Linked DNA regions of Sus scrofa. The protein of the gene in region 1 purifies or fractionates together with the protein of each later gene. This does not show direct contact. Links are inferred from orthologs where the notes say so. Each region holds a gene or a part of one and is shown on either strand. Other genes may lie near its edges. The genes, in order: ZNF395 and FBXW11.

Evidence for each region.
Region 2: the proteins of ZNF395 (region 1) and FBXW11 purify together in Homo sapiens (affinity purification with mass spectrometry; 5 studies listed by BioGRID and IntAct, with this or other methods). This does not show direct contact. The link is inferred for Sus scrofa from reciprocal best matches to the Homo sapiens genes ZNF395 and FBXW11.

The regions. Positions count from the first base shown.
Region 1 is NC_010456.5:12,181,144-12,185,454, forward strand, and holds the start of ZNF395 (zinc finger protein 395), read right to left. Parts: upstream 2,885-4,311; 5' UTR 2,858-2,884; intron 2,588-2,857; exon of another isoform or gene 2,385-2,587; intron 1-2,384.
Region 2 is NC_010458.4:52,210,986-52,215,353, forward strand, and holds the start of FBXW11 (F-box/WD repeat-containing protein 11), read left to right. Parts: upstream 1-1,415; 5' UTR 1,416-1,820; coding exon 1,821-1,865; intron 1,866-4,368.

The DNA.
Region 1 (4,311 bases):
TTCCATCCTACTTCCCTCCAATCTCCAATCCCACCCACCTGATAAGAAGAAGTGTCCCATCCTCCTTGGAGGCTCAACTCCCTTGAGTTGCTCTGTTAACTTCAGGTTCAGGACCAAGTGATGTCATGTGAATGGCAAGACCAAACAGAACCTTCCAACTCAGACCCTCAGCCCCGCTCACTAGCATCCTGCCTGACTCCCTATGACTGATGCCTTCCCTCCCCCGCAACAGCAGCCTCTCCCACCTTACACACCTGGTTTCCCACCAATCTCAGTGTTGTGGCTGCTTGCAGGACACCTCTGTTTGAATGTCTTGGCAAACGCAAGAAACTTCTCTGCAGCCTGAGTGTCAATTACTTCTCTCCAAAACACACATTTCCGATTTCTCGAGTTACTAACTACAGCAGCTCCAAGGCCCTGGCGTGTAATCAATTTCCACCAAGAATTAATTTCCATTCATCTCCTTCCTTCATCCTGCCCCTGACAACAGATTATTTCAACAGTCATGCTTCTAAAACCCACCCATTTTTCCATTTCCAGTTATCCCAGTGCAAGGCCTGGGTACTCCACAACTAAAACAGCCTACTAACTGATTTGTCACCTAACACTGCTTTTAAAAACCTTTCATTACATCACTACTCTCTGGCTCAAAAACCTTTGCTATCTCCCTAGTATACACAGGGTACAGTGCGATTCCCGTCTGGCTGTCTAGGATATTCACAACCTCAACCATTGTTCCTCTCCATTTTTATCTCCTACTGTGCAGGAAACATCCCCTTGTCTCTCAGGAAAGTCATGTTCATTTGCACCTCATGGCCCATCTCAAGGGTCTCATCTGCTGGGAACACAATCCTGGTGATTACTACTCATAGTGCCCTTTTCTGAATTCCAATAGCACCTAGTCTACACCTTGCAGTTTGACAGTTAATTGTGCCCCATCTTGAGGTCCTACTTCCCAAGTCTTTCTGTCTCCTCCCTGAGATTATACACCCTGGAGGGAATCATCTCATGTATCTTTCTCATCCTCCCTGAGATAACTGTCTGAACCTCTTCTCCTCCCCTAATCCCTCTGTAACCTTTCACACCTGTTACTTCTCCCTCCCTTGCCTTTGACCTTTGCTACAGAGCTATTCTCCATGTGCATAACGTTTCATAACTTAGTACTCTTAAATCCATTCTGCAACTCTAATCTTCATCAAGGCAGCCAGAGCACATTAATTTGAACTTGAGCTCTCAAATCACTTTCACCTGGTCAGTAGGCTTACTGAGGCCTTAGATTTCTTGAGTGCCTCTTATTATCTCGCAAAGAGCCTGGCATGATGCTGAGAACACAGAAGCCCCTCAAAAGGATCTGTGGAACTGAACTTCATTGCTATGTTTCCTGGTGTTTCAAGTTCCTTCAGACCCGGAACCTCGGTTTACACAACACCTTAGGAGGGTGTCAAAAAGGCCTTCAATACCTGTTGATCACTCGCTTTCAGGGAAAATGCACCAAATACACTTTTCTAGAAAACAGGGTGTAAAGAACTGACTGGTGTCCTATAGGTAACCGCTGCACCTGGCCGCCTGGCATCAGGAGAACTCCTGCCTGGGGGAAGCGCTCTAAAATCACTGGGCACTGGCCAAGGCTGCCTGAAATAAAGGGGGCAGCAGCACCCCCCTCGCCGCCTGACAGATGGGCTTCTCTGGATTTCTGAGCCCATCCTAAAGTGAAAGCGCTGAGCCCTGAACTCCCAGGCAAGGAAGAAAATACTGCCTTTGAAATTGTTTGCACATGACAAACTCCCCGTTCGGGCCCCCACCCGGGCACCCCACATGCCCGCAGTGCCAGCGCCGAGGAAGGCCAGGGCCTCCGGAGAAGAGAGGCAGGGTGAAGGCGCGCAGAAGTGTGGAGGGTGGGGAGACGGGAACCGGAGGGTGGGGGCCAGCCCCCCGAGGTGGAGGGTGTGTCGCGCCGCGCGTCCCGGCGCCCGGCACTTGCCCGCCGGGCCGCTCCGAGGAGCGGGCAGGAACGCGCGGGGCGCCGAAAGGACTGGGCCAGCGGCCCGGCCGGAAAGGGTCAGGGAGGGGGCAGGTCACCCTCCGGCAGAGAGGCGACTCCGGACCGGCGCTCAAAGTTGGGGAGGGGATCACTAGGCGAGCGCCGGCAGCCGGCGAAATAAACAAGGCGGCGCATGGGAGGGAGAGGGGGAGGCCACCCCCACCCGGCCGGCGCGGCCGCTGCCGCAGCGCCCCCGCGACCCGACCCGCCGCTGCCCCGGCGGCGCCCGCCTCCCGTGCCCTCCAGCTGCCGGCCCGGCTCCCGAGGGCGTGTGGAGCGTGGGAAGTTCCCGGGCCGCCCTCGTCCCTGGGCTGCAGCGCCGCGAGGTCCCCGTGCAGCTTACCTCGCCCCGCTACAAGCGGCGGCGCGGGCCGGGCAGCTACCGCTCGGACGGCTCGGCTCGGCAACCCGCTGCGGCTGCCGCGGCGCCCGCCCACCCGGCGCGGCCCACCGCCCGGCTCGGCTACGGCCGCTCGCCCGCCGAGGCTCCGTTCGCGCCCACCTGGTCGGCCTGCCCTCCCTCTCCGGGACACTGCGCTCACGTACGCGGCCGCGGCCACAACCCGGCCCGGATTCCCGCCCGGGAAGGGAGCGGAGGCGCGCGCCAGCCAGCGAGCACCCGGGCGAGGCTGGGGACACACCCCCTCGCCGCCCTCCACCGCCCCCCCCGCACCGCCCTTCCCCCGCGCCCCCCGCCCCCGCCCCCGGAGCCGCGCGCGCCCGCGGCCTGCGCGCCCCTCGGCGGTCCCGCGCGCCCGAGCCCCCACCCCCACCCCGCCCCCAACGCACACCCCACTGCGCGCCCGGCATACACACCCCCGCCCGCTAGTAAACAGTGGGCGCTCAATAAGTGCCCGAGCGACTCCTGGCGCACATGCGCACTTGAACCTGACCCAGTGGTGACGCCCCCACCCCACCCCCAAATCGGACCCGGCGGCTGCAGCCCCGAAACAAACTTGGGGGTTTGCCTGTTTCCACTGAACCGCCAACCGAGTCAAAGTTTCTTGCTGTTGTTTTTTCCAGGCCGGGCTCTGGGATACGCTTCTCCGAGAAAGGCCGAGCTCGCCCCAGGGCGGGAAAGGCCGCCCGAAGGCTCCGGGCGCCGCAGACTGGCGCTGCGCGGGGGCGGTCGAGACCCGGGCCGCGCAGCACCGACCCGCGGGGCGCGGCGAAAGGCGAGAGGGAGAGAGCCATGGAACCAACCTTTCCATTTGCCTTTGCTTTAATGCTTTCTTCTCCATTTTATGACATTTTACTCGGTCCCTCTCGTTTGTAGTTGTAAAGTGAGACGTTATTTACTGTTTCTTGAATTAACATGAGAGAAAGTTAACTATTAGCTTTCAGCCCTTAGGTAAACAATACCAGTTGCTTTTGGCACTGTTAGGCTCTGGCTTTGTGTAATTTGTAACAAGAATTGAAGCTGTTCCACTGTATCGCACTTTGTTTTTCAGAGATAAGACCAGAGCTACAACGGTGGTAAGGAGACCCAGTGCCTGTGAGTGTGAGCATGTAGATTCATATTCAAATAAATTTAATGGATATAAGAAATAAATCCCTCCCCCCCCAAAAAAAAAGTTTTTAAATACTTTTGGACACACTTGTTGCATTTGTGGTCTGTTCACCTTCGACTTGAGGTATGCTGTCTTTCTTGCAGGGAGGCATGGGGTGTGTGCAGGAAAGGACTGATGGCTTTGCAGTCAAACAAGCCTGGTTTGTCTCCTGATTTTACTACTGAACTAGTTTATGATCTTCAGCAGGTTATTTTCTCTTTCTGAACCTCAGATTTATCTGTAAGATGAAATTAAAAACATAGGTATAGTGCCTAGCTCAAACCAAATAAGCACTAAATAGTATTTCCCTCCCACCACCACCATTTGTTACATAAGAAAAACAGCTACACAGAACCAAAATTCCTGTAGGAATTTTACCCCCCAGGAGACATTTGGCAATGTCTGGAGACATTTTTGATTGTCACAACTGGGAGTGGTGTTGCTCCTAACATCTAATAGGAATAGGCCAATGATGCTGCTAGAAAAATGTCCTGCAATGCACAGAACAGCCCCACACAACAAAGAATTACCTGGTATCATTTGAGTAATAAAAAATTTAAAAATAATAAAATAAAATAAAAAAGCAAAGAATTACCTGGTCTGAATTGTCCATAGTGGTACTGTTAAGAAATCCTGCTATAGGATAATTCCGCCCTGGAATAATTCATTAAAGACTGGCCCTACCTTTTAATTCTCATCTACAAGGAAACACTCCTTTTT
Region 2 (4,368 bases), on another chromosome or scaffold:
ATAGCTTTTTAATTCTGTGTTCTTCCTATTGCTTTTCTTTCAATTCCCTAAGTAGAAAGCATCGGATAAGGGCCATTAAACTTAAAACTGTATTGAACAGAACTTACACTGTGTCCTGCATGCATACAAATTACTGTAGCAATTCGGTGCTTGGAAATGGAAAGACTTAGAGGTCATCTAGTCCCTTCCCTTTACAGGTGCAGAAAATGCAAAACACTTGAGAAAGAGAACAGTAGCCTTTGACATTTGGCAGCTGGCCTGATACAATCAAACAGGCAGTAATGTTACTAGATGATAGCCTGGTCCTCTTAGCTAGGCCTCGTGTTTTCTTGTTGAACCTAATTTCATAGAACATAAATGTTAGACAAAGCCATTCTATGGCCATGATAGACCAATACAAAAGCGAAACCACTCCTAATTAAATCTGAACACAGATCAAACAGGGACATTGTTCAAACCACAAAAAATGACCAAATAGCCCTTATTCTGGTAATGAGGGACTCCTGCTTCTCTACCAATCAGGACTTCAGCCTCGTCTAGTAGTCCTTCCGTCTAGATAACATTTACTGAGATGCCCAATCATAAAATTACCTCCACTTTCTGACAGCATCTTATCCAGGGTAAAGTCCCACTTTCTTAAACCCTCATCCAAATCACCTGACAACTCCTCCTGAGATGCCCCACAGTTCTTCATGGTGTGTGTTCTCTCTCTCTGCAACCAGCAATAAACCCAACCTGTTAATTCTCAGCGGGCCTTTGTCGTCTTTGGTTTGAGGTTACTGACAGACCTGATAAGGTTTATACCGAGCTGGAGGCAGAATTCACTGGGCATCTCCAGCTGTGTTCCTTCTTATGGTTAATGTCTGTCTTCCCCCTACCAGAATTACGCTGCGTGAGAAGAGAAGCCTTGTCTGTAGGGATCAGAGCTGATTCCCAGGGCCTAGGCTAGTGACGAGCAGAGGCTGGAAGTTTAAAAGATACTTTCTAAACGAATGAATAATAGGTTCTCTTTCACCTCTCAGTTCCTCCCAGTACGTGGTGCACAGAGACCACAAAACTCCTCTTTCTCAACTAAATTTCCAAACCCCTCTTGGGACGCCACTCTTGGGACGCCCATGCTCTCAGAGCCTCCTTCTCTGCCCGAGCTCTCTCGCTCGCTGGCCCCCCTCCGACACTTGAGCCCCAAGACCATCCCTTCCTAGAACCCACCTGTCGCCAACACCTCACCCTGCCACAGAGGCCAGACCAACCGTGCCGTTACTTAGGTGTCGAGCGGGCACTGCAGGCACAGACCGCGCATGTGCGGAAATCGGTCGCGCACGCAGGATCGCTGGCAAGTGAAGAGTTGCCTTGGAGTTTCCGTCCGGGTCCGGGGAGCCTCGGGCTGCCAGGAAGTCAGAAGAAACTAGCCGGAAAGAGAACCCGCGCGCAGGGCTTTCTGGGATATGTAGTAGGCGCGCACCTGAAGCCCCACCTTGAGGAAGCCCGTAATTCTTTAGGTCTGCACGTCTCTCATTCGCAGTCCCGTGCTACTTTCGGCTGAGAATTCAGCTTCGGACGGCTAGGAGAGATTGGTCTGGCGGGGTCTTCTCGTTCCCACAACGCTCTGCGGGACCCGCGGCGCCTGCCGGGAGCTGTAGTCCTCGCTCTGCGTACTGCGTTCGCCGAGGGGGAGGGCGGAGCTGCCGGCGGCCCGGGCGGGCTGGCAGCTAGAGTGGGTGCGATAGCCGCCTCCGCCTCTGCCGCCTCCGCCGTCGCCTCCTCCGCCCGGGCCGTTCGCTGCTGCGCGGGGAGAGCGAGGCGGGGCCGCCAGGGCCGCCATGGAGCCCGACTCGGTGATTGAGGACAAGACCATCGAGCTCATGGTGAGTGCGGCCCGCTGGACCGTCCGTTCTTCCGTCCGTCCGGCCCCGGGCGGGCCTGCCCATCTCAACGTCCGGCGCGAGGCCGGCCCTGGCCCTTCCCCGCTGCCTCGGCCCGAACCTGGGCCCTCCGGCCCGGCGCGCTTTACTCCGGATCCCTCGAGATCTCAGGCCGGACCTGGTCCGGCCCCCTCCATGCCCCTCGGTTTTCCTCCCTCCCTCCCTTCTCTCCTGTCTCTGGGCCCATCCCTGGAACGACCCTCGCTCGCTTGTGCTGTGGCCTTAGCTCACACTCGCTCAAGCATCTCCTTCCTCCCTTAGAAGGGGTTTTCTGTTTTTTCTTTTTCTAATTCTCCGGCCAGGCCTGCATCGCTCTTGCAAGCCCCACTCAGGCCGAGTGAGATGGTGATGGGAGGGGGTACAGAGAAGATCGACCTGGGGTCTCGGCCTCTGCGTCCTAGAAGGGGTCTCTCAGCACCCTCTTCTCAAGCCAGGGCTGTGTGGATGCCGGCATAGGCCCTACAGGGGTGGAGGTGGGGAGCTCTCGGGTTTGAGGCTGTGACCGATAAGGGGCCTCTTTCCTGGGCCCCTGTGGTGTCCGGCTTCTCGGACAAAGGGTTTCCTACCCGGCCGAGAGGGATGTTTGGATAGCGAGGCCCCAGGTACTCTGGATTCCATCTCCCAGGAAAGAGACACTGTAACTTCACGTTTTCCAGAGCCGCTCTGGGAAATTGGGGAGGGGGAAGAGGGCTTGTCCTCATCTGCGCCGCCAGTTCTTTCTTCTAGAAAAGGAGTAGGAGAGAATCCTAGGCCCCTGGGAAATCGATCACTCTTCTGTTAGAAACCTTTGGTACCCAGGCCAGACCCTCTGGCCCCACGAATCCCAACCCCCCCTCCGCCTTGGGACTTGGAGCCTAAGGTTTTTAGAAACAGGGCCACGAGAGAGTGGCTAGTAGAAACGAAGAACTTGCTCTTTGGTGGATGACTTGGTGGAAGAAATAAAATATGATAGCTATTACCTGCCAATTGGAATACTAGGGAAATCAAACTGGGCTCTGGAGAGCTGGGAGGGGAAGCTCTTTGCCTCAGCAAATGGACAGGCCCAGGCTTTCTTCCTGTGGAAATCTTGACAGTTTCTTTGTATCTCTTCTAATACAGTAACAACTTCTACTCTAAGGTTGAGAGGAAAGGTGAAAGAATCTACTTAACACAGCAAAACGTTTTCCTAGCCAGATTTTCTCCAGTGTGAAAATGTTTATTGAGTCAGTGATTCCACTGGGTAGGGTCGGTGACATCAGAGCCACTTCCCCCATTTAATGCTATAAATAATAAATGGTGACATTGAAAGTCTGTTGGATAGCTGCATGGTGTCTGTGGATGATGGTATCTGGGGAGTTGAGGTGCATGTTTTAAAAATGGAAGTACAGTAGCATAAATATGGAGGCAGCTTAATATTTGCTGTCCTTTGCATAATTCACTAGACTTCTTCAGCAGTCTTGAAAACTAGAGGGGAAAAAAAGCTCTGGTAGTTTCTGGGGTGTGTGTGTGCGTGCGCGCACTGGTGTGGTTGCTTTCTAAGGGATACTGTCACCATAAGTTTGATTTTCATTTATTAAGTAATTTATTAAGTAATTTTTCCTTTCAGTAAAGTTTATCAAACTTTTGTAATCAAGCCTTTGATAATCTGCAAATTTTGTAAGGGGTTATTTTAGTAAAATATCTTAACTGGAATTGCATATATAGTATATATGCTTACATGTATGTGTAATACATGTATTTACAACAGGAGTGCTTCATATCGAAAATTGTAACTTGGGGGGAGTTCTCGTCGTGGCGCAGTGGTTAACGAATCCGACTAGGAACCATGAGGTTGCGGGTTCGATCCCTGCCCTTGCTCAGTGGATTAAGGATCCGGCGTTGCCGTGAGCTGTGGTGTAGGTCGCAGACACGGCTCGGATCCAGCATTGCTGTGGCTCTGGCGTAGGCTGGCAGCTACAGCTCCAATTAGACCCCTAGCCTGGGAATCTCCCATATGCCGCGGGAGCGGCCCAAGAAATGGCAAAAAGACAAAAAAAAAAAAAAAAGAAAAAGAAAATTGTAACTTGGTACCTCTTTGAAAGTGTTCAGTGCTCCTTCCATTTACATGCCATTAAAACAATAACTAAAATGTCTTTATTTTGAAGAGAATTAGAAATGAATACAGTGTAATCCATTTAGTGTTTTGAGTGGATGTAGAAAAAAAAAAATCTCTGACCTAAATATACTGGTTTCCTATGCTTATAAATTGAAAAAGTTTTGATTTTACATAATTGTGTCTGTGATCTGAAAAGATATTTCAGCTCTTTCAAGGGCTTTACAAACTGGGATTCTTAAGATAGTTTAACAAAAAAATTTAACAGCTATCTAGATCAATTTTAAAATGCCTTTTCATATATGGATTTTGATACTCCCTCAAAGAGCTACCAGTTAAGACTCTTAGGCAATCCTTTTGATGAACATTTGTGTG